4 linked regions of the Schizosaccharomyces pombe genome follow. The protein of the gene in region 2 interacts with the protein of the main gene of each other region in a biochemical or structural test. Each region holds a gene or a part of one and is shown on either strand. Other genes may lie near its edges.

What was found.
Region 1: the proteins of orc2 (region 2) and orc6 form a complex in vitro, tested with the Schizosaccharomyces pombe proteins (3 studies listed by BioGRID).
Region 3: the proteins of orc2 (region 2) and orc5 form a complex in vitro, tested with the Schizosaccharomyces pombe proteins (4 studies listed by BioGRID).
Region 4: the proteins of orc2 (region 2) and orc4 form a complex in vitro, tested with the Schizosaccharomyces pombe proteins (5 studies listed by BioGRID).

What each region holds. Positions count from the first base shown.
Region 1 is NC_003423.3:2,964,900-2,968,891, reverse strand, and holds orc6 (origin recognition complex subunit Orc6), read right to left. Parts: upstream 1,640-3,992; 5' UTR 1,538-1,639; coding exon 1,356-1,537; exon of another isoform or gene 1,299-1,355; intron 1,298-1,298; coding exon 685-1,297; 3' UTR 630-684; downstream 1-629. Other genes in the region: protein ess1, read left to right, coding at 97-570; iss9 (nuclear export factor), read left to right, coding at 2,370-3,017, 3,068-3,197, 3,266-3,675; bmc1 (Bin3 family regulator), read right to left, coding at 3,817-3,992. UniProt on the Schizosaccharomyces pombe protein: Component of the origin recognition complex (ORC) that binds origins of replication. It has a role in both chromosomal replication and mating type transcriptional silencing.
Region 2 is NC_003423.3:2,779,588-2,784,336, reverse strand, and holds orc2 (origin recognition complex subunit Orc2), read right to left. Parts: upstream 2,302-4,749; 5' UTR 2,272-2,301; coding exon 772-2,271; 3' UTR 661-771; downstream 1-660. Other genes in the region: inositol phosphosphingolipid phospholipase C Css1, read left to right, coding at 1-60; SPOM_SPBC685.08 (uncharacterized protein), read right to left, coding at 2,682-2,972, 3,019-3,021; rpl2701 (60S ribosomal protein L27), read left to right, coding at 3,684-3,710, 3,755-4,138; rps001 (40S ribosomal protein uS2), read right to left, coding at 4,481-4,749.
Region 3 is NC_003423.3:951,301-956,062, forward strand, and holds orc5 (origin recognition complex subunit Orc5), read right to left. Parts: upstream 3,018-4,762; 5' UTR 2,977-3,017; coding exon 2,620-2,976; exon of another isoform or gene 2,567-2,619; coding exon 2,492-2,566; exon of another isoform or gene 2,452-2,491; coding exon 1,516-2,451; 3' UTR 1,034-1,515; downstream 1-1,033. Other genes in the region: protein sds23, read left to right, coding at 1-807; Pex16 family peroxisome import protein, read right to left, coding at 3,901-3,914, 3,957-4,069, 4,135-4,692, 4,737-4,762. UniProt on the Schizosaccharomyces pombe protein: Component of the origin recognition complex (ORC) that binds origins of replication. It has a role in both chromosomal replication and mating type transcriptional silencing.
Region 4 is NC_003423.3:2,023,223-2,029,505, forward strand, and holds orc4 (origin recognition complex subunit Orc4), read left to right. Parts: upstream 1-2,165; 5' UTR 2,166-2,320; coding exon 2,321-5,239; 3' UTR 5,240-5,454; downstream 5,455-6,283. Other genes in the region: FRG1 family mRNA-processing protein, read left to right, coding at 727-764, 837-956, 1,017-1,475, 1,547-1,667; RNA polymerase II transcription elongation factor Ell1, read right to left, coding at 6,037-6,283. UniProt on the Schizosaccharomyces pombe protein: Component of the origin recognition complex (ORC) that binds origins of replication. It has a role in both chromosomal replication and mating type transcriptional silencing.

The sequences.
Region 1 (3,992 bases), 190 kb from region 2:
TCGAACAACATACCCATACTCTACTATCTTCTTGTTCTTTCAATTTATTACATATAACGGCTTGTTAAGCTGCATTCCTAGAGTTTCTTTCGCAATATGGGAAAATTTGCTCTTAACTTAAACGCTGAGTTGACTGGTGTGAAAAATTTAGCTCCCAAGGATGAAGAATCCTTCTATTATGCTTTTAAAGTCCAATGTAGTGGTTGTCGAGAGATTCACGACAATGCCATTGAAATCTCCCGCAGCGAGACTCACAGCATACCTGGCAGCAAGGGCGAGGCTAATCTCATATGGACGTGCAAAAATTGTCGCAAAACTTGCTCTTTCGTTATAGAGGGGCCATTCTCTCCTTACAATGATTCTCAAGAGACGAAAAAAGTTCTCGTATTGGAATGCAGAGGATGTGAACTAGTCGAATTCATTCCTCAGGGAGAATGGATAGCTAATGGTGCTGAAAGTAATACACTTTTTGACGAAATAGTATTAGAGGATGATTGGTATGACTATGATGAAAATGCCTCTTCAGAAGTGTCTATTACAAATTTGGAGTGGTCTATTAGTAAAGCTTAGAGTCTAATTTAACTTTTTTTTACTCATGTATTTGTATATATCACTAAAGATATCGTGTACCCGTTTATAAATGTTGTTTAATGTACAAAAAAAAATTAATATAGTAAATTGTATTCATGAAGCAGTACCATCTTTTTCAAGCTGGCTTTTGTAATATTGGATTCTTTCTTCAATGCAGGCCTTCCATATTGGATAATTTTGAAGTCGTTTTTCGTAATCTATTTGAATCATGCTTGCTATCCCACTCCAAGGTTTTATCCGTTGCTTTTGAGATTCATAACCCTCTATACCATTTAAAGGGATTTCTTTATACTGCCAACTTTCTGAGAGGACATGCATCCAATACTGAATTTGCAATGCAGAACTTGTATCCTGTAAAACACTCTGTGCCTTTCTTCTCTCGGTGTGATTTATATGAAGTTCGTCTTTTCCAAAAGCTTTTGCCGATACTAGTAAATAAGCTGCGATTATGATGCCTCTTTTGTGTTCGATGCGCATGTCGTTTGTAACAACGGCTTTCACCAATTGTTTAACATAAGGTATAGCAGTTGAGCCCCCTAGTTTGGTACAAAGATAAGTAATGGTTTCCATCAGATCATCTTTAGCTGCTAAGGATTTAGTTAATGGAGATAAGATTTCTTGAAAGTAAGTGAAAAGTTTATAGTATTTCTTTTTTGGAATTGGAGTCGCTAGTAAATTTATTTCCAAATTTAAATCATTGGATAATCTTTTTAAAGAGTCAGAACAAGTTCAAGTAGAGTAATTAAACATCAGAAGTTACTTACAGTTCACAAGCTAAGTGCGCTGCCATATAAGGACGGCATAACTCTTCTGTCGCCTTTAGATTATGTTTATATTTGGACCATTCCAAAAATGACTCTCCTAAACTAATAAGCCGTTCATTATATTCTGTACTTTCAGTGGGAATTATTCTGCGTAAAGACTCTATAATCTGTTGTCGCTCCATGAGAAAATGAATATATTTAATAAAACTTTTATCATTTAATTTTGATTATTAATTATTGAAATCATGTAATCATTCATAATATCATAATAGTGGTGAACGCTTAGTTTGTTTTATGTCAATATGGTGTTTAATACAGAGACATTTAAACGATGTTTTTAATGCTGCTAATACTACCAGCTGTTTCAAAAATATAAAATCTATCTACTTGATGCACCACTGAATTTGGTGTTTATATTCCGTACTTATTTAATATGACTCTTGCTTAATCATTCCGGTTGCTAGTTATCTTAAATAATGTCACCAAAAGCTTAGAATTTAGACCTACATTCTTCAAGATATTACTACAAAACTTTCGAAGCAGTCTTCAAATTTTTTTTTATTTAATAATGAATTACGATTGCTTTATTGGGAGGTAGTGTTTTAGGCTTGATAATTCGGTATATTACTCTCTTTTAGTAGTTTAATCAAGGCTATATGAGGCATACAGAATAAAATATGCGTGAATAGCGTGAGTTAATATTAACTACTTTCCATGTTGGTTTCATAAATTTTAAGCGAACAAACAAGTTTAGGTGGAACCGTTGAATTATTTGATGACTTTTTAAATTTTTAAAGGAAAAAATGATGAACGATCAACTGAATAGTAATAAATTAATCCTTATTGATTGAAAGGTTGGATAATGAAATCGACTTACAACGTTACTGACAGGGTTAAGCTGACGGACTCGCACTTCTCATACAATCTCGGTACTCACCACTTTAGCAATTGAGGAAGTTGAGAAAAGTACTTAACTTTAGCATTAATCATATAGCTCAATGAAAAATATTAAATATGAAAAAAGAACATCATAGCCCTTGGCCGGACTCTTTGAAAGAATTTATTGGTAGATGCATCCAAGACGCTGAGGAAAACAGCCAGCCAGAATTAGAGGATGAAGTAAAATTGCTAATTTCTCGTCAATACGAAATGGGAAACATATGGAATGTTGATTGGTCTTCTATGAATTTAGAATCCCTAAGGAAACTGACAAATGCTCAAAATACAATCATCGAAGATAAAAAAAGAAAGGTTGAGAAGCCTGTTTCTGGAAATCAATTTTCACTTTTAAGTGAAGAAGATGAAGTGGATAAGAAAGAAAAAAGAAGAAGAAGGTTTGAAAATGGTTCTCGTTCTCAAAATAACGCTAAATCTGAAGAGCTAAAAGTCAACCCGGAGAATGGTGCTATTATAGGACGGTCCACAGAATTAGAGAAAAGGTATTTGCGATTAACTTCGGCTCCTGATCCGGATACTGTTCGACCCCTTCCAGTTCTTAAGCAAACTCTCGAACTTTTAAAGAAGAAATGGAAAGAAGAGAAAAACTATGCATATATATGCGATCAATTTAAAAGTTTAAGACAGGATTTAACTGTGCAAAGGATTCAAAATGAGTTTTCTGTATTAGTTTACGAAATACATGCTCGTATAGCTCTTGAAAAGGTACGGTTAATTACTTTAAAATATCATTTCTTCTTCTAACGTTCGACTAGGGTGATGTTGGCGAGTATAACCAATGTCAAACTCAATTATTTCATCTTTACAGTTTTGGTATACCAGGGAATACTAAGGAATTTTTAGCATATCGTATTCTGTATATGCTCTTCACTAAAAATCGATCTGGTAAGTTAATTACGGCTTACTGCTTAAAAGAATATATCTTTTGAATTCAAATTATTAACAATTTATAGAAATGAATAGCCTTCTCGCCAATCTAAAAGAAGAAGACAAAACAAACGCTGCTGTTACACATGCATTAGAAGTCCGTTCGGCGATGGCTACTGGCGATTACTATAAATTTTTCCATCTATATTTAGTCGCTCCCAACATGGGAGGTTATTTGATGGATCTTTTTATTGAGAGAGAACGAGTGCAGGCGATGATAATGATGTGCAAAGCATATCGCCCTTCTCTTACAATGGAATTTTTGGCTAACACACTAGCATTTGAAGAAATGGAAGATTGTGTAAACTTTTTTAGGAGTTGTAATGCTGTATACGATTCAAAAGATCCCAATCGCATACTGATGAAAGAAAGCACGGATAGATTCGAAAAATGCATGAAAAAGCATGCTGTGGTTGATATTAAAGGCCAAATCTAATAATAAAACTACTTCATTCCGCTTTTCTTTCTTTCCTCATATGTTGAATTAGAGAATTTAATAAAAAATGAGACACGTCCTTTTGGGACATTATGCTTTATAGTTCCAGTCATTGTCTATTCTTAACGTTTTACTAGACAATTAAGTAGAAGTTAATAGTTTTATGATTCCAATTCCTTTTTTTTTATAGATATACATTGTTCGTTTGGCAAAATTCTTGTACTCAGAGTTATTTACTTGAGGTTCGATACTGTATTCAAGCACTAGTCCTGCTTGATTAAGCAAATGTTCAAACGCATCAGGTTGGATTTTGAGGT
Region 2 (4,749 bases):
CAGAAATTACTTTGCAAACAGTATCTTGTGGACCATCCGTTACCCTTTGCTAAATCATAAATTTACCGATTGCTGTTAATATGCCTTCTTTATCCCGCTTTATCCCACATTGTTAATTTAAAATTTCCCATCATTTTTATCTAAGCTTTTTATCACAGCTTTGCATGCTGAGGCTAGCGACTCCTAATTGTTTTTTTTTAATTATTTTTACAAACAACCTTTGATAATTTCTGTGTTATTTTTTTAAAGTTTGGTTTTGGTAATATTTGACTCAAACCAGTTGTTTTTCATTTAGGTATACTTATAAATGGTCATTGTTTTTAAACTCGTTGTCTTTGTAAACGCGTATTTACAAAAAGCGACTTCGGATTTAGAGGGATGAAATCAATATTATTTAAAGATTCTGTTCGTTTGGTGAACAGATTACTGTAATTACAAATGATTGAGATTGTACTAGCTTCATGAAGAACGATATATGGTTCTTGTTCTTTGAATTTAAGTATTTACAATGCTGATACTAGGATTATTAGAGATGGTTAGATATAAGATGTGAAATCCTAAAACTATACTGTATTCAATTACTATGTTAAATATCGATAATGAATTGCTTTCGAAATACTACATACAATTGCACCAATGTGCATAATTGATAAAAAAAAATAGTAAATTTTTAACAAACAATTATTATTATGGATCGTGAAATATCTATTTACAAAGAAATACATAAATTATACTCTAATGTTCCGTAACCTAGTCTAAAAGGGTCCTATTTTATACGTCTTCCATCATATCCTCCAACAAAATTTCAAGGAGATTTTTGGGATATGGTACCCATAAAATCTCAGAATTTGATACATCTCTTTTTGATTCGATAATGTTATGGTCAAAAAATTCTGTGAGTTGACTTCGAAAATTGGGTTCATTACTGCAAAGGAATTCAGCGCTACATTTTTGAAAGAAAGAACGATATTCAATACCGACTTTTTCACCTTGGCGGGCATCAAAATCTTGAGTATCCATCATGCGTTCGAGTTGGTGAATTAGAAGGAACTTAAATATACCGCGAGAATTGGCGGGCAAAGAATAGAGAACGTGCTTTATAGCTTTCTCTTTATTAGACACATTCGCTCTTCCGATACCTAAAGAATTTTCATATGTAGTCTCATTATAATACCGTGCAAAGGTAGTCGCATCGTGCATGACAAAATTAAACGAAGACTCTAGAGATGTATCCCATAAAAGTGCAAAATTTACATGATCCACAGAAGCAATGAAATACACATTTTTTGAAGAAGCTATGGCCGCCAAAGCAGATTGAAATCGTTCGTCAATTAGACTTTCACCATCGATATTATGAACCAGAAACACGATTTTTCCTAACGAAAAAGAGGGAGAATTGATAATACTCAAAGATTGAATTAACATATCAGATACAGACGCAGCAGGTGTGACCTCTAAAAATTCAAGAAAGGATGAAAGAACATTTTTTAACTGTAACTGAGGGAAGTAGCCTTTTACGACAAAAATGGGGAAACAAGGAAGTTTTTTTTCAACAAAAGAAGATAGAAAATGCTCTTTAGAACCAAACCCGTAAAACAGTAAATTAAAATTATTCACAAGTTCAAAATACCATTGATGAAAATTACGAGACTGAAAATGAACTAGAGTTTGAGTGTGCTGCTCGGTTTCAGTACAGATTTCCTTTACAGTATCTAGGTATACTTGATTATCCAAAACAGGCAACTGAGATAAAGTGTTGCTCGAAGTTTTTCGCTGAGAAAATTTATCAAAGTATTCATCAAACCCCGTGCCATGACTCCTCGCTTCAAAGCCGTTTGATTGAGATAAGCCGGCTTCTCTACTTTCAGAAAACTCATGGCTTTCAAGAGATGGCGAGGCAGGTGTGGAAGAACGACTTCTGTTATCTTCTTTTCCTAGCTTCTCCACGGAAATACCTTGGGGAGATTGATTAATTCCTTCCATGCTTTCATCCTCAAGCATCACAGATGGTGAAAGAGGTTCGGCCTCTAAAGAATAGAGCGGAACATCAAGTAGTGAATTCGAACCAACATTATCATCAAATTCTCCCAATAAATGCCTTTCAATCTCAATTCTACCTCGCCGCCTTTTAGCTGAACGGTCTTTGGTATATGCACCCTTAGCTTTTATAATTCGATGTCCTGGTGTTCGAGGAGTAACAACTTCTGGTGTTAATGTAGAAGGATCTTCAAGAACTCCTTTTTTAGGCGTTGAAGATACGTTTTCAACCATTTTTAAGTCATTGCTTTCATGACTGTTAGCAAAGACAAGATGTGCGACTCTTGTAAGAGAGACACGAAGAAAATGATAGCGTTCTCGTACGTGCTCGTTTATTAGCATTTTAGGATACGTTCTACTTCGTAAAATGAATCCATACTAGCAAATAAATGAAATGGATTAAAATTCTCGAAAATATGATCAGAAAAAATGTATTATTTTTGTTCGAATGACGATTCGGGATTAAAAGTATTCCATAGCTTGGGAAACATGTCTTTTGGTGATTGTAACAAAGAGCAGAAGAAATATTATCGAAATAATACTAGCACTATCTGGTAGTCTCAGGTTAATAAATAGTTTTTATAACACTTTGAGTGTGGAAACATGTATGCCAATTGATAGATAGCTGATGAATGAAGTGTGTTTTAAGGGGAAATCTCTTCAGACATATCATCATAATCTTTAGGCTTTTCCACTAGTAGTGGTTCTTCTCCTTCTGCAAATGCATATTCAGTGTTATTAGTGATGATGGTTTTTGAAAGTGCATCATTTTCCATTGCTACCCAGTCATTTTGCTCAAAAGATCCAATTCTTAGAATCGAATCTGGAGGTAAGTTAAGCGCGCTTTTTAAAAGCTTTACTGCATCGTAAACGGACAGGCCTGGTTGAACTTCTAGCATAACAGTTAACTTTTCACGCTTAAACTTCACAAGCACCTTGAGGAACCTAGTTAATTAAATTTTTTAAAACTAAAATACGTACCATGGTAAATATCAACTATTCAAGTAAGGAAAACAGAAAAACAAATTAACTTGAAGTTGTGGAAAGGACGATGCTCATTCTCAACTTCGTTGAGCGCTTTGAGTTTTCGAAAGCTACGGAGCAAACGGACTAGGATATTGAGAAGCTAGTTCCAGATATTGTTAAAAAATCTATGAAATAATTTAAGTTATTTTGTTTAATATTCAAGATTTATTGGTTAAAATATAGAAGCTGTTTTCGCTCAAGCAAAGTATGTATGTAATTATGTAGATAAAACCTCCTTATTATAGTATTTCTAGTGTTTTAAGAATCCCATATCGGTACCGAACTCTGTTAATACGGCCTTTCCATATGCAAGTATAAGTATTCTCAGAAATTTATTTTCTCTTTAAAATAAACATAAATGACTTTATTTCTATCAATGTATCAGTGAGAACTAAACATCCAATATTTATTGTATTAGAGAGGGCTGAATTTTGAAGCTTCGCTATATTCGGTAAATAGAATAAGAAAGTGTTGTTATTGTTACTGAATATTGATTTACGAAACTCTTTTTAATCGGGTTCATCGCAGTGCTGCCTACATTGCGCAAACATATTAAAAGCAGTCACAAAGTTTCGTGCTGTCGAGAAATCGTCCACCTATGATTGTCCTACAACACAACAATGGTGAAGATTCTCAAGCCAGGAAAGGTATGATTTACTAAGTAGTACGCTTTACTAACATTTCAAAATAGGTTGCTCTTATCACAAGAGGCCGTTTTGCGGGTAAGAAGGTTGTAATCCTTCAAGCCATCGACCAAGGCTCAAAGTCCCATCCCTTTGGACACGCCGTCGTTGCTGGTGTCGAGCGCTACCCTTTAAAGGTCACCAAATCTATGGGTGCCAAGCGCATTGCTAGGCGTTCTAGAGTCAAGCCTTTTATCAAGGTTGTCAACTACAACCACTTGATGCCTACTCGTTATGCTCTTGAACTCGACAACCTTAAGGGCCTTATCACTGCTGACACCTTCAAGGAGCCCACTCAACGCTCAGCTGCTAGAAAGACTGTCAAAAAGACTTTCGAAGAGAAGTACCAATCCGGAAAGTCTGCCTGGTTCTTCACTCCTTTGAGATTCTAATTTTCGTACTCTCAAATAAAAGTTCAAGTATTCAGCATCTTCAGCTTAGTAGTTGATTCCTTAAAGTATGATATTAATTTTGTCTCTCATTTGTAAATTTATTTGTAGCGGGTGTTCAGTACAATCGATCCACTGTGTTTTGTCATGCTATGGAGAATATGCGCGGAATTTGCATGAAAACAAATAATACCGAAAAATGTACAAGAATATAGACGGAGTTACTCTACTAATGATTACAAAGTCTACAGTCTAAAAATTTAATTTGAAAAATAAACAACTACTATAATCAATTTTCACTACCCAAACAATGGTATTTTTATTTTAAAAAACTAGAGAAAACATTTATTGAGCCTCAGCGGCAGCAGTCCAGTCACTAGTTTGGGCGGCACCAGTAGTATTCCAGTCACCAGCACCTTCCCAAGTATTCTCACCGACTTGTCCAGCAGTAGCGGCAGCAAGAACATTAGGATCAACAGAGCCAGCAGCACTATCAGTGATCTCGAATTCAGCAGCAGCAACAGCCTCTTCGACTTGAGCTTCCTCGGCAGCGGCAGCAGCAGCTTTCTTAGCTTCCTCTTCACGTTCAACTTCTTCGGGATCACGGTAGAAGT
Region 3 (4,762 bases), 1.8 Mb from region 2:
AACAAGGATGACTTTATCACCATCCCTCACACCACCAGCCTTGGACGTCTCGCTGAGATTCTTTCTTCCGGTATTCGTCGTGTTGCCGTCACTAACGAACAGGGTGAATTGAGCTTTATGGCTTCTCAGCGCTCTATCATCCGCTTTTTGTGGAATAATATTCGTGCGTTTCCCGATTTGGAGCCTCTAATGTCCAGGACAATTCACTCTTTGGACATTGGAAGCACTGACATCACCTGTATCTCTGGAGATCAAAAAGTCGCCGCGGCCTTGCGACAGATGAATCAAACCGGTATTGGTTCACTTGCTGTTGTCGATGCTCAATTCCGGTTACTTGGCAACATATCTCTCGTTGATGTTAAATACGTTACACGTTCTTCTTCTGTCTATTTGTTAAACAAATCATGTGCTCACTTTTTGAGTGTCATTAAAAGCGAACAGGGTATCCGCGCTGGTAAGGATAGTGCTCCTGCTTTTAACATCTATGAATCCTCTACTTTTGCTTTTACGTTGGCTAAGTTGGTGGCTACCCAATGTCATCGTCTTTGGCTTGTGCAGTCACCTTCCTGCCCTCCTTCCCCAAAAAATAACGCACATCTTTCCCCTGGATCCATGGGTGGTGTTAAGGTCAATCAATTGTTGGGCGTTGTTAGCTTAACTGATATCATATCTGTTTTATATGCTCACATGAAAGGCACTCTTCCACCCGCTCCCCATAGTGCTCCTTCGCTTAGACATGGACGTCGAGGAAGCACAAGCAGCCATCGTAGCCATAGCAAAGCTAGTGTAGATACACAACGTCGGTGATGCTAAATATTTGATGATTTGAAACACCCTTTTTTCTTTTTCTCATTTGAACCTCCGTTTTATTTCATCTTTTACTGTTACCTCTAACATTCCATATTTCATGAACGGGTTTTGATACTTATTTTTAATCATCTTTAAATGGATAAGATTTTGGTTAAATCTCCAATGATTTCTTATTAACCATTAAAAATATACTTTTACTTATGTTTTGACGTTAACTGACGGACGCTTTTCTTTATACATATGTTCTTATTAATGAATTGTCTCCCGTTGTTGATTTACACGGCAGCAGAGTAGCTCTTTCAGAGGGTTAACTTTTATATCAGAGTTATGATTGAAACTTTGCCTCTTGATATATATTATGTATCCATCTTAGCAGCACATTACTTTATTTTTTTGTCAAGAGTGTTTTCGGCGCTAGTTTTTGCTTTTTACAGCTTTGCCAACTTCCATAATGTTAAATACGTAACAGTTTACACAGAATCACAGAGGCGTAATCGAATTGTTTGTAGTGTACATTTTCTTTTATTTTCCAGAAGTAACAAAAAAAAATATGTTTTTTAAGTTTTGGGCCCTTTAAACAGTAAAATAACATGTTATGGGGAGATAGAATGGATGTTCATATAGTTCTGTATAAATTAATGAATTGTGACAGAACTACGATATTCAAAATTTCAGTAATGCAATAAAATAAACCATAATACTAAGCTATCCCGCCAAATAACTATCGAGAGGAAACGAAAGTGAATCTGCGATTTTTAATACATATTCGCGAGAGACATTGACAATGTATCTAGGGCTATCCAAAGAGCGAAGCACACCTTTGGAAGCCGAAAGTATCATTTTTAAGGAGGCGAGTGTAGCTATTTGAACAAAAACATCAGCGGTCAGAACTTTCTCTACCGGGGAAGAAATGGCATAATAAATAGCAATCAACCTTTCTACTTCAAAAGGTTTAGGTCCTAATGTAAGTTGGGATATTTTTACAGCAGACCGGCCTTTGCTCCCAGCGGTTCTTGGTATTTTGGAAAATAAAACCCCTTCATCTTGAATTTGTTTACGTTTTCTTCCACGTCGTTTCGAAGTTTTAGAAAATGAAAAAAATTGGGCGTCTAACCGGCTTGGATTATAAGATGCTAGGAATGCAGAAACGAGTAAATATTTGGAAACGAGCGACAAGTTAATAGATTTGGAATCAAGAAGATTTTTTATTTCAGTCGGGTTGATTATGTGAAGTCTTTTAGTAACCGTAGCATCTGACACTAAAAAGTTTTTAGCCAGCTTGTGAAGTTGAGCATAATCAGCAGGATGTATGTCTCCTTCAACTATAGGTTGAATGAACTTTGGCCAATATCTATCCAAAACACTACGAAAAGACCTATAGTCATTTAAGCACTGCACTCCAAAAACACTCCAAAGAAACGAGCAATATTGCATCCAGACGCTGAGCTCAATTTCGTCTTCAAAAACACTATCGCCAGATCTATCCAAAAAATCTAAATTAGGAGGTGTTTTTTGGCATATCTCTAATATTTCCGCTTGGGTATATTGTGGGAAAAAAATCACTGCAATAGACAATGTTCCCAAGTATTGAGCAGGGTGAGAATGAAGTACAAAAATGATTGACAGATTGGGAATGTTTGCCTAAAATAGTTAATCAGTGGGTCTGTAAATATTTACTTACAACAATCGGAAGCTGAGCTAATTGTGAGAATAGAATAGTAGAAGCCTCAGCGAAATCATCTATTTGATCCAGCACCTATAACTCATATTAGTATTTAAGAGTAATAAAATAGGAGAGGAACTAAGTACCAAAAATGTATGATAGTCCCTTTTGGACATTGCCTGTTCCAGTAAATAAATAAATCCACTGATATTAATGCCTTTTTTTAATGCTATATCTTTGTCAACACCGACTTTTATAAGGATCCGGTACCAGAAATGAGCGACTGTAAAACAGTCTTGCAAATTAATCCAAACATTTTCTTCTTTTGACAAATCAAAAGCGGTCCGCAATAAAAAAGTCTTTGCTGTACTAGCAACTCCGTAAAGCACAATGCTTGGAACACGACAATCCTTATTAAAAAGTAAACATGAAAGTTTCTTTATTTGATCTTCCCTGCAAAAGACATTCTTTTTTAATTCGTCTTCCAACTGATACAAATGCATTTCATGGCAATATGCTTATGCTTTGGCATATGGTGTCGTGCAGTGAAACATTCATCGCTCGAAGCAAAAACTAGTGGACTAATTTATACAAATAAACGAAAGGTAATTAATGGAAAACGAAGAATAATATTCGTACATTTCAAATACAATTTAAACTTTGGAATTATTGAAATCTTAATTGATTGTTTACTATAAGCGTTGTACTTGGTTCAAGGTGTATTTTATTGAGAAGCCTTGTCGTAACAAAATGTGCTTAAACAGTTATTCTAAAATAGAATTATAAAATTTTATTTTTTGTAATATATTTGATTAATAGTAGTAAAGAACAGAAGTTCGTTTCGCTTGAGTTATTAGAAGTTTTCTTTCTCCTAGCTAATTCACTTTCAATACTAACTTCTTCACCGCTAATGCATAGCCAAAATTATTTTTGAATAAATGGCCTAGTGCGGAGTACGTAGAATTAAATATTGCTTAGATTTAATTTGTAATCTAGCCGTTAACTGTTTTAAGTATGTTATTAAAAAAATCAAAATGCATTTTTTAGTAATTGATATGAACTCATCATAATATCCGAATTTCAGTGTATTACATCTTTTCCTTTGTCTGAATTTAACACAGCATTCTTTAGTTGTGAAATTTAAAGTCTTATTTAAACCTTACATATCTGCACCGCAGATTTCAGATACTGATTGACTCATGTATGGATAACGTTGCTAATCTTCGTAGCATGCAATGTTGAAGCTTTTGCTTTATTTTCGATAAAAGTGTACTGAGTTTTATAGAAGAATGAAGACTAATCATCAAAGCAACAAAAGACGTAGTAGATAAATGAAATACTAACAATACTGAAATCAAGAGAGAGAAAAACACCGAGTTAAATAAATAAGAAAAGGATTTCTATAGGTTCTGGTCATCAAGGCTTCCTTAATAGTTTCTAACTGAATGAAAGGTTAGTAGCAGTAAAAATATCAATATCATACCAGAGGATATATAATTTTCGAGACTTTTTTGTCTTTCCTCAACTGAAAGAAGTAGATATTTACCAAAAACGGGTATTGAATTAACCCAGCTTAGGGAACGATTTATCCAGTGTCTAAATTAGTTAGTGAGTTGAAAAACGACATTTTGTTATAAAAACCTTTCAAATAAATTACATACTTGGTAAACTCATCATAAAATCGTCCTTGAGTAAACGCCCAAACCACAAAATGCTGAAACTGACTTTGATTTGTCCGGCGTTCTAGTCCAAACCCCTGGCGACTAGAAGTCGCTGATTCACATCTTCGATCAATTAATTGAGAAATAACTTCAAAAACAAACGCTACAATCCAAGGCCCCCAAGGTCGAACTTTAAGAGAACTCGATTTTTGCTTTCTTTTCCAATGCCACATAAACAACATATAGATAAGCGGACGACAAACTTTAATAAAATTAGAAAAAATCCGTAGATTGGGAAGTCTTTTTGTAAAAATCTCATCTGGTAGAATTGAAGAAAGACGTGGAGTTCGGTTTTGCAAGAAGTCAAGCGATGAATTGACTGTATTAAGTCTGGGAACAACTTTCTTGGAGTTTTTTAACACAACAGCACTTCCTGAATTAGAGTATTTCTTGTGAAGATGAATGAAAGTCTTTACATTGAAATCGCGCTGCAATACAGGATTAGAGAGCGGAAGATCACCTCCAGTAGTCCACATAATGTGAACCCGAAGTAAAAATCTAATATTTGTTAACAATTTTAATCGAAAAGTAGATTTCCGTACTTGACTGATTCCAAGAATAGGACAGA
Region 4 (6,283 bases), 760 kb from region 2:
AATGTTTTGGAATTTCCAAGTTCATTTGTACAACAATAATCAAGTTAATAGATTAAATAACAAAATTAATACTATTGTTTTTTTATCACTCAAATATTTTCATCCACTTTTGTGCTGTTTTTAATATGCAGGTATTATGGCTACACTTATTCACATAGTAATAAGTAAATTGAAACAGTGCTCATCTTTTGTAAGCTTTCAACTGAATAAGCAAAAAAAAATTCTTATTGTCATCAATGGACTTCCTTTTTTGGAATATGACTCGTCCTTCAACGAATGTTTTTGGTATTGAACAATGCTAGTCTTCGGTGCATACTTCTTCTCTCATCTATATTCAAAATTATCATTCAATTAAGCACATTTTTTTTCTTTCTCAAGCCATTAGAATGTTATGCAAATCATCCATTTTACAAACCAACATTAGCATGGGTCACAAAAGTCACATTGTGAGCAACAGAACATTTCTATTCATATAAAGCATTTCCTTGCTTATTAAAAACGTTTGAACCTCTTTTGTTTTGCTAAGAGTACCTTGCCTATTCCTCAGAACATATTGGATTTCAGCACGAAGAAGCATCTGGTCTGTTCAAATCCTTAACACTACTCCCACTACTTGCTTTTTCCTCGAAAACCACGCATAAATATTTAGTCATTATCCATTATTAACAATTATCATTTTTAAGGATTTTTAATCGTTTAAATTCTTGGTAATTTACTGATGGTAAAATGTCTATGCGATTAACTTTCAAGGGAGACAAAAAGATGTAAGATAAAATGAAATAACTGCTCGAATGTGGTAATTCATATTATATTGTTCATCACTAACAAGAAATCAGTCAAAAGAAGAAAAAAAAGAACACAAAATCACTTCAATCTTCTCTAGAATCAGCTGAAAACGATCCTTTTTGGACGGACGCAAACGAGCTAAATGAGCTTGAGGGTCCAGCGGTTATATAGTAAGCTTAACTTCAATATTCTTATACCTTTTTTTCTAATTTACTTACAACTTTATGTAGTAAAATAGACGATGATGCTGGTGTATCTCTTGGAATTGAAGAAGTTAAAGAAAGTTGCGTTCTTCTTCCCCTCGACAAAGTTTCGCTAGAGCCAGAATTGACGCGCCAGGTGTTTTTGTTATCCATACTGAACAATACTATACTATTGAAAAGCTGTTTAGGTAAATACATGTCATGTAGTAAGTCTGGAGACTTGTATTGTACGCAAGAGGCGGTAGGATCACAGGAACAATGGATAGCGGAGAATCTGGGCTCAGGATTTTGGGCTTGGAAAAGTGTATCAACGAAAAAATATTTAACATTAAGTAGAGAAAAACAAGATCAGGCCATTGCATGTGTCTCTGACACTGTCATTCCTGAAGCCAAATGGAGAATTCGAGTACAAACTCGTTTCCTAAAGAAAAACAAGTCTTCTTTATTTGACAACCCAACCATACATTCCAGACAATTAGAATCTATGTAAGTTATGCTATTCTATTTTATTGGGGTTTCCCTTCTACTTTCGTCATTCTAACTTTGTAATTTTACAGGGCTGGAAGAAAACTTTCTACCGATGAAAAAAAGACCCTCAAAAAAGCGTTTAAGGAAGGAGTTCTTCATGAAGCATTACTAGATTTACGAGTATCTTCAAGGAGCGACAAATATGGTTAATTTTTCGGATATTCTTGATAAACCATTAATATCTTGACTTACTGATTAATGTACGATTACCTGCTGGACCAAAGCTAGCAAAAACAGATTTGATTTTTTCTCTTGAATTTTAGGCACCTTGTATAGCTATTGAGACTCCTTTCAGCTATTCACTACTTTTATGTATGAATTTACAAAGCTTTATGGTAATTACTCATTTCAAAAGTGAAGTGTTTTACTTCATTCCTTAATTTTAACGAACTATTTTTTTTTAATAAAAAATGAATATTTAATGAATCTGTTGAAATTCATTCCCTTCATACATGTATGGTTTTACAAATAAATGCAACAAGTAAATAATTATAGTCATCAGCATCGCTTGAAAAAGATTAAAATAGTTTTAGATTATTACTACTATTACCTAGTCATTATTTCAGCTTCAAAAATATATTTCTATACTGGCCCTGTCCTTAAGGCTGTACGCCAATCTTACTGCTCACCTTTACCAAGAATCGAAGTAACACCCTGCATCTGTCAAGTCAAGAGGAAATTGAAAAAAATAATTAGAAAAGAGACCAATTAATTGCATTTGTTAATAAAAAGGCTAAATTTAGAGGATCATTATTTTTACAGTGTATAAAAACCATAGGGATGTGCATCTTCAAGTTTTTAATATGAGCTCATCCCCATTCACAAATCTTGGGAATTTGGACACAGAAGCAATCTATGAAAATAAGGAAAATGAATACCAGACAAACATAACTAATGAGACCTCAAATGTTCAAAATTTATCAAGTGGTAATGATGATCAGCAGTATCCCAATTCTACGAATGATGATGCAAATAATGGATTAACTGCCTCTCAAGCAAAATTGCAAGATATTGCCGCTGTCACTTTATTTCAGGATAATAATATTTCAACTACGACTTTAGCTCCGCCTTCACCTTCACCTTTGCGTCTCAATGAAGCTCCTCGCAGACGTGGAAGACCTCGAAAATATCCACCAAAACCAATTGACGAAGGATCGGAGCCTATAATCAAACGGAAGCGTGGCAGACCTCCAAAAATAAAAAGTTCTTCTCCTTCCACAAAACTAGATGATCCCTTAAAGCCTAAAAGAGGTAGAGGACGTCCTCGTTTACATCCTCTCCCAGTAGTGCAACCGTCTGTAGATGAGGGAACAACTCAAAATAATCTACAGATGGGGTTAGATGAGCCGAATATCATAGAAGGTTTTGCCGAAGGGCATGCCAATTTAAGTGAGCTGAAGCCAAAGAGAGGGCGTGGACGACCTCGAAAAATAAAACCAGAAGAAGGGAGCTCAAGTCAAAATGGGCTTTCTCCTTTGGTAGTATTACCTGCGAAAAGAGGGCGCGGGCGTCCACCTTTACATCGATCTGAACAGAAGATTGCAAATACTCCAATTTCGAATAATGTAACGGTTGAATCGACAGGTACAAATCTACATACTCATTCACAGTTGAATCCAGAAAATGAACAATCTTCTTCTGAATTCTATTCATTGAATCCACAATCTGAAATACGGAAGGAAGTTGTAGTCACAGATCAACCTTTATTTTCTACTGCAGACGTCCCAGTAAAGCGGAAACGTGGACGACCTCCTTTAAATAAGCCCAAGATACTTTTTGGGACAAGTACTGAAAATAAAATAGATGAAAATAGACCCAAACGAGGTAGAGGAAGACCTCGCCTTGAAAGACCGAGTGGCTTGCCTTTAGATTCAAAATCACAATCCCTTTTTAAAAGAAAGCGTGGTAGACCTCCAAAAATAGCTAGTGGAATTGTACCTTTAAGCGCCTTTACTAGAAAACATGAGGATATGCTTCATGACTCAGACGCGTTGTCACTTAAACATTTTGCTATTACATCTCCTAATAATCAACAGTTCCTTAATAATCAACAGCGAGAATCAGCTCCGTTGCTTCCTAGAAAACGTGGACGACCACCGAAAAAGCGTCAAGAGAATGCGGAAATTCGTAATATCACACCTGGTTTAACCGATTCCTCTGTTCACTCCTCTTCAGCAACTCCGCAATCCGAATCTTCATCACCCAATTCAGTTTCTCCACTACTTCCTTCATCTGACAGATTACCCCTTCTTCGACAATCTCAATTTACACCTCCTCCCAAAAAACCTAATTTCGAAGTTGCTATTATTTCTCCTAAAAAGAGTCAGCATAAACTTTATCCTAATCCTGTCGTTGAGTCTGTATTTAATGACGTCCCATATTCTGAAATTGACTCACAGTTACATACTATTAAATCTACGATTGCTGCAAGGTTGTGTGGGAAAAGCCATATCCCTCTTGTAGGACATATGGATGAACAGACAAAGCTTTATCAATGGGTCCGACAAACTATAGTACTTGGCGAAGGTAATTCTGTCATTATTGTCGGTCCACGGGGTTCTGGAAAATCAGTTCTCGTGGATGATATACTATCACGCGCAGCTCAGGAAATAAATGAAAAAAGTTATGTCGTAAGATTGAATGGTACGTACCAGACAGATGACAAACTAGCTTTGCGTGAAATATCGCGACAATTATCTATTGAACTTGAATCTATCGAGTCTGATGAAGCATTAAAATCAGAAATGAACTTTTCTGATACACTTACAAAATTGTTAGCTACATTGTCTCATCCCGTGGATTTGGGAATTGCAGAAGACGTAATGACAACGTCTGCAGCCGTGATATTTGTTTTAGAAGAGTTTGACCTGTTTGTTCAGCATTCACGGCAAATGCTCTTGTATAACTTGTTTGACATTGCTCAATCGAGGAAAGCCCCGATACTGATCATAGGCTTGACTACTCGCTATGATTGTTCTGAATCACTTGAAAAGCGAGTAAAAAGTAGGTTTAGTCACATGGTAATTCCCATGCGACCACCTTCTTCGCTTAGTGAATTTGAGCAAATTTTAAAATCTGTTTTGTATGTTTCTGACGAAGGCGGAAAAGACCAAATAATAACATGCTGGAACCAGAGAGTGGATGAATTGCTTTCCGATACACGAAGTCACTTACATAAATTGGTACAACATCACTATTTTGCAAGCAGAAATTTAAAATTATTGTATGTTGATTTATTATTTCCCATACTTTCCATGGCACCTGATCGTCCATTACTTGCTGATGAAGACTTCGCCAATATCAGTCTCAAAGTTTCTGACCATAAGGTTGAACTTGTAAAGAATTTAAGTTTGTTGGAGTTGGCTTTATTGATTTGTGCAGTTCGCTTTGAAGCTAGGGATATTCCAGCTTGCAACTTTAATAGTGCTTATCAAGAATATCGACAACTGCATCAATCTTCCGTTATAAATGCCGCAGCATCGGGAGCTCTAGCTCATAGCAGTCGATTATGGGGAAGGGATGTTGCTTTGGAAGCATGGGAAACTTTAGGGTCTATAGGATTGATTATACCGGTTCACCCTTCTACTAATGTTAGTGGTGCCCTTTCTAGACAATGCCAACTATGGCAGCCAGAAGTGGATATCAATGTAGTTTCTGTAGGTTTGCGTGAACATCGACGTTTGCCATCGCATTATTACCGCTGGCTTAAGGAGGTTATATAAAAGAATTGCAATTTTTTTTGTTTCTGTTGTATTTTATTAACTTTGTATCCTTTTTAAATAAAACAATATAAGAAAGGCAAAAATAAGGACGACCGTGTTGAAGGTTATATACCATTACACATTGTAGTTATTACCGATATTTGATAAATAAAAGTTTTAATTTTAATTGATTAAATATTTGCTTCTGATAAACGAAAATAGAATTTACTTTTTTGCTATCAGCGCTGGTTAAGCTGTGAAAGAAGCTGGTCTCCAAATATTTATATTAGATGACTTATGAAGGTAAATCAGTAATCAACGGATCAATGAATACCTAAACATTTTAATGATAGTTTTTGTTTCAGGGTCACTTTGTACTAATGTAGAAAAAAAATTTTGGCGGAATATTTCATGAAAGGTGGTAAGAAAAACAAAATAAATTAGATTAAACGAAAGGACTCATCAGTGGTACTTTTAAGCCCAAAAAAAAGTGATAGCACATAAGGAATTCACGCAGTTTAACTAACTTAAAGATATGTCATAAAAGTTTAAAAAAAGCATCACAATAACAAGATTCTCATTATAAAATCAAAAACAAACTAATATTCAATAAACTGCTAATTGAATATGAATTTAACCAATTTATCTTTTAAACGAAACACTAGCCTTAACGAAAGCAGGAAAAAACAGCCTGCACTCGTTGTAGGCACCGTACAGTATTGAAACAATTTTGAATTGAAGCTGAGATAACCGTCACCTTTATAAAACATTGGAAATAAAACTGAGTGTTAAGAAAACCGGAAATTTATTGAGAAAAGTTAGAGGGCTAGCTCCGAGGAAGCATCGTAAAGTGTATTTTTCCAGCTTTTGAGCTGAGAATGTAGAGATATAAGTTCATCTTGGAGCTTGTTTAAATTAGGATTATTAGTATCATTATTATCATAATATGAAGAGACTTTTAAATATAAATTCTTATAACGCGGATAAGTTTCCCGAAATCTTTTTGCCAATGCTCGCATTTCTTCTGTAGTGTAACGTTGTTGACGACGCTTTTTAGCTATCCAT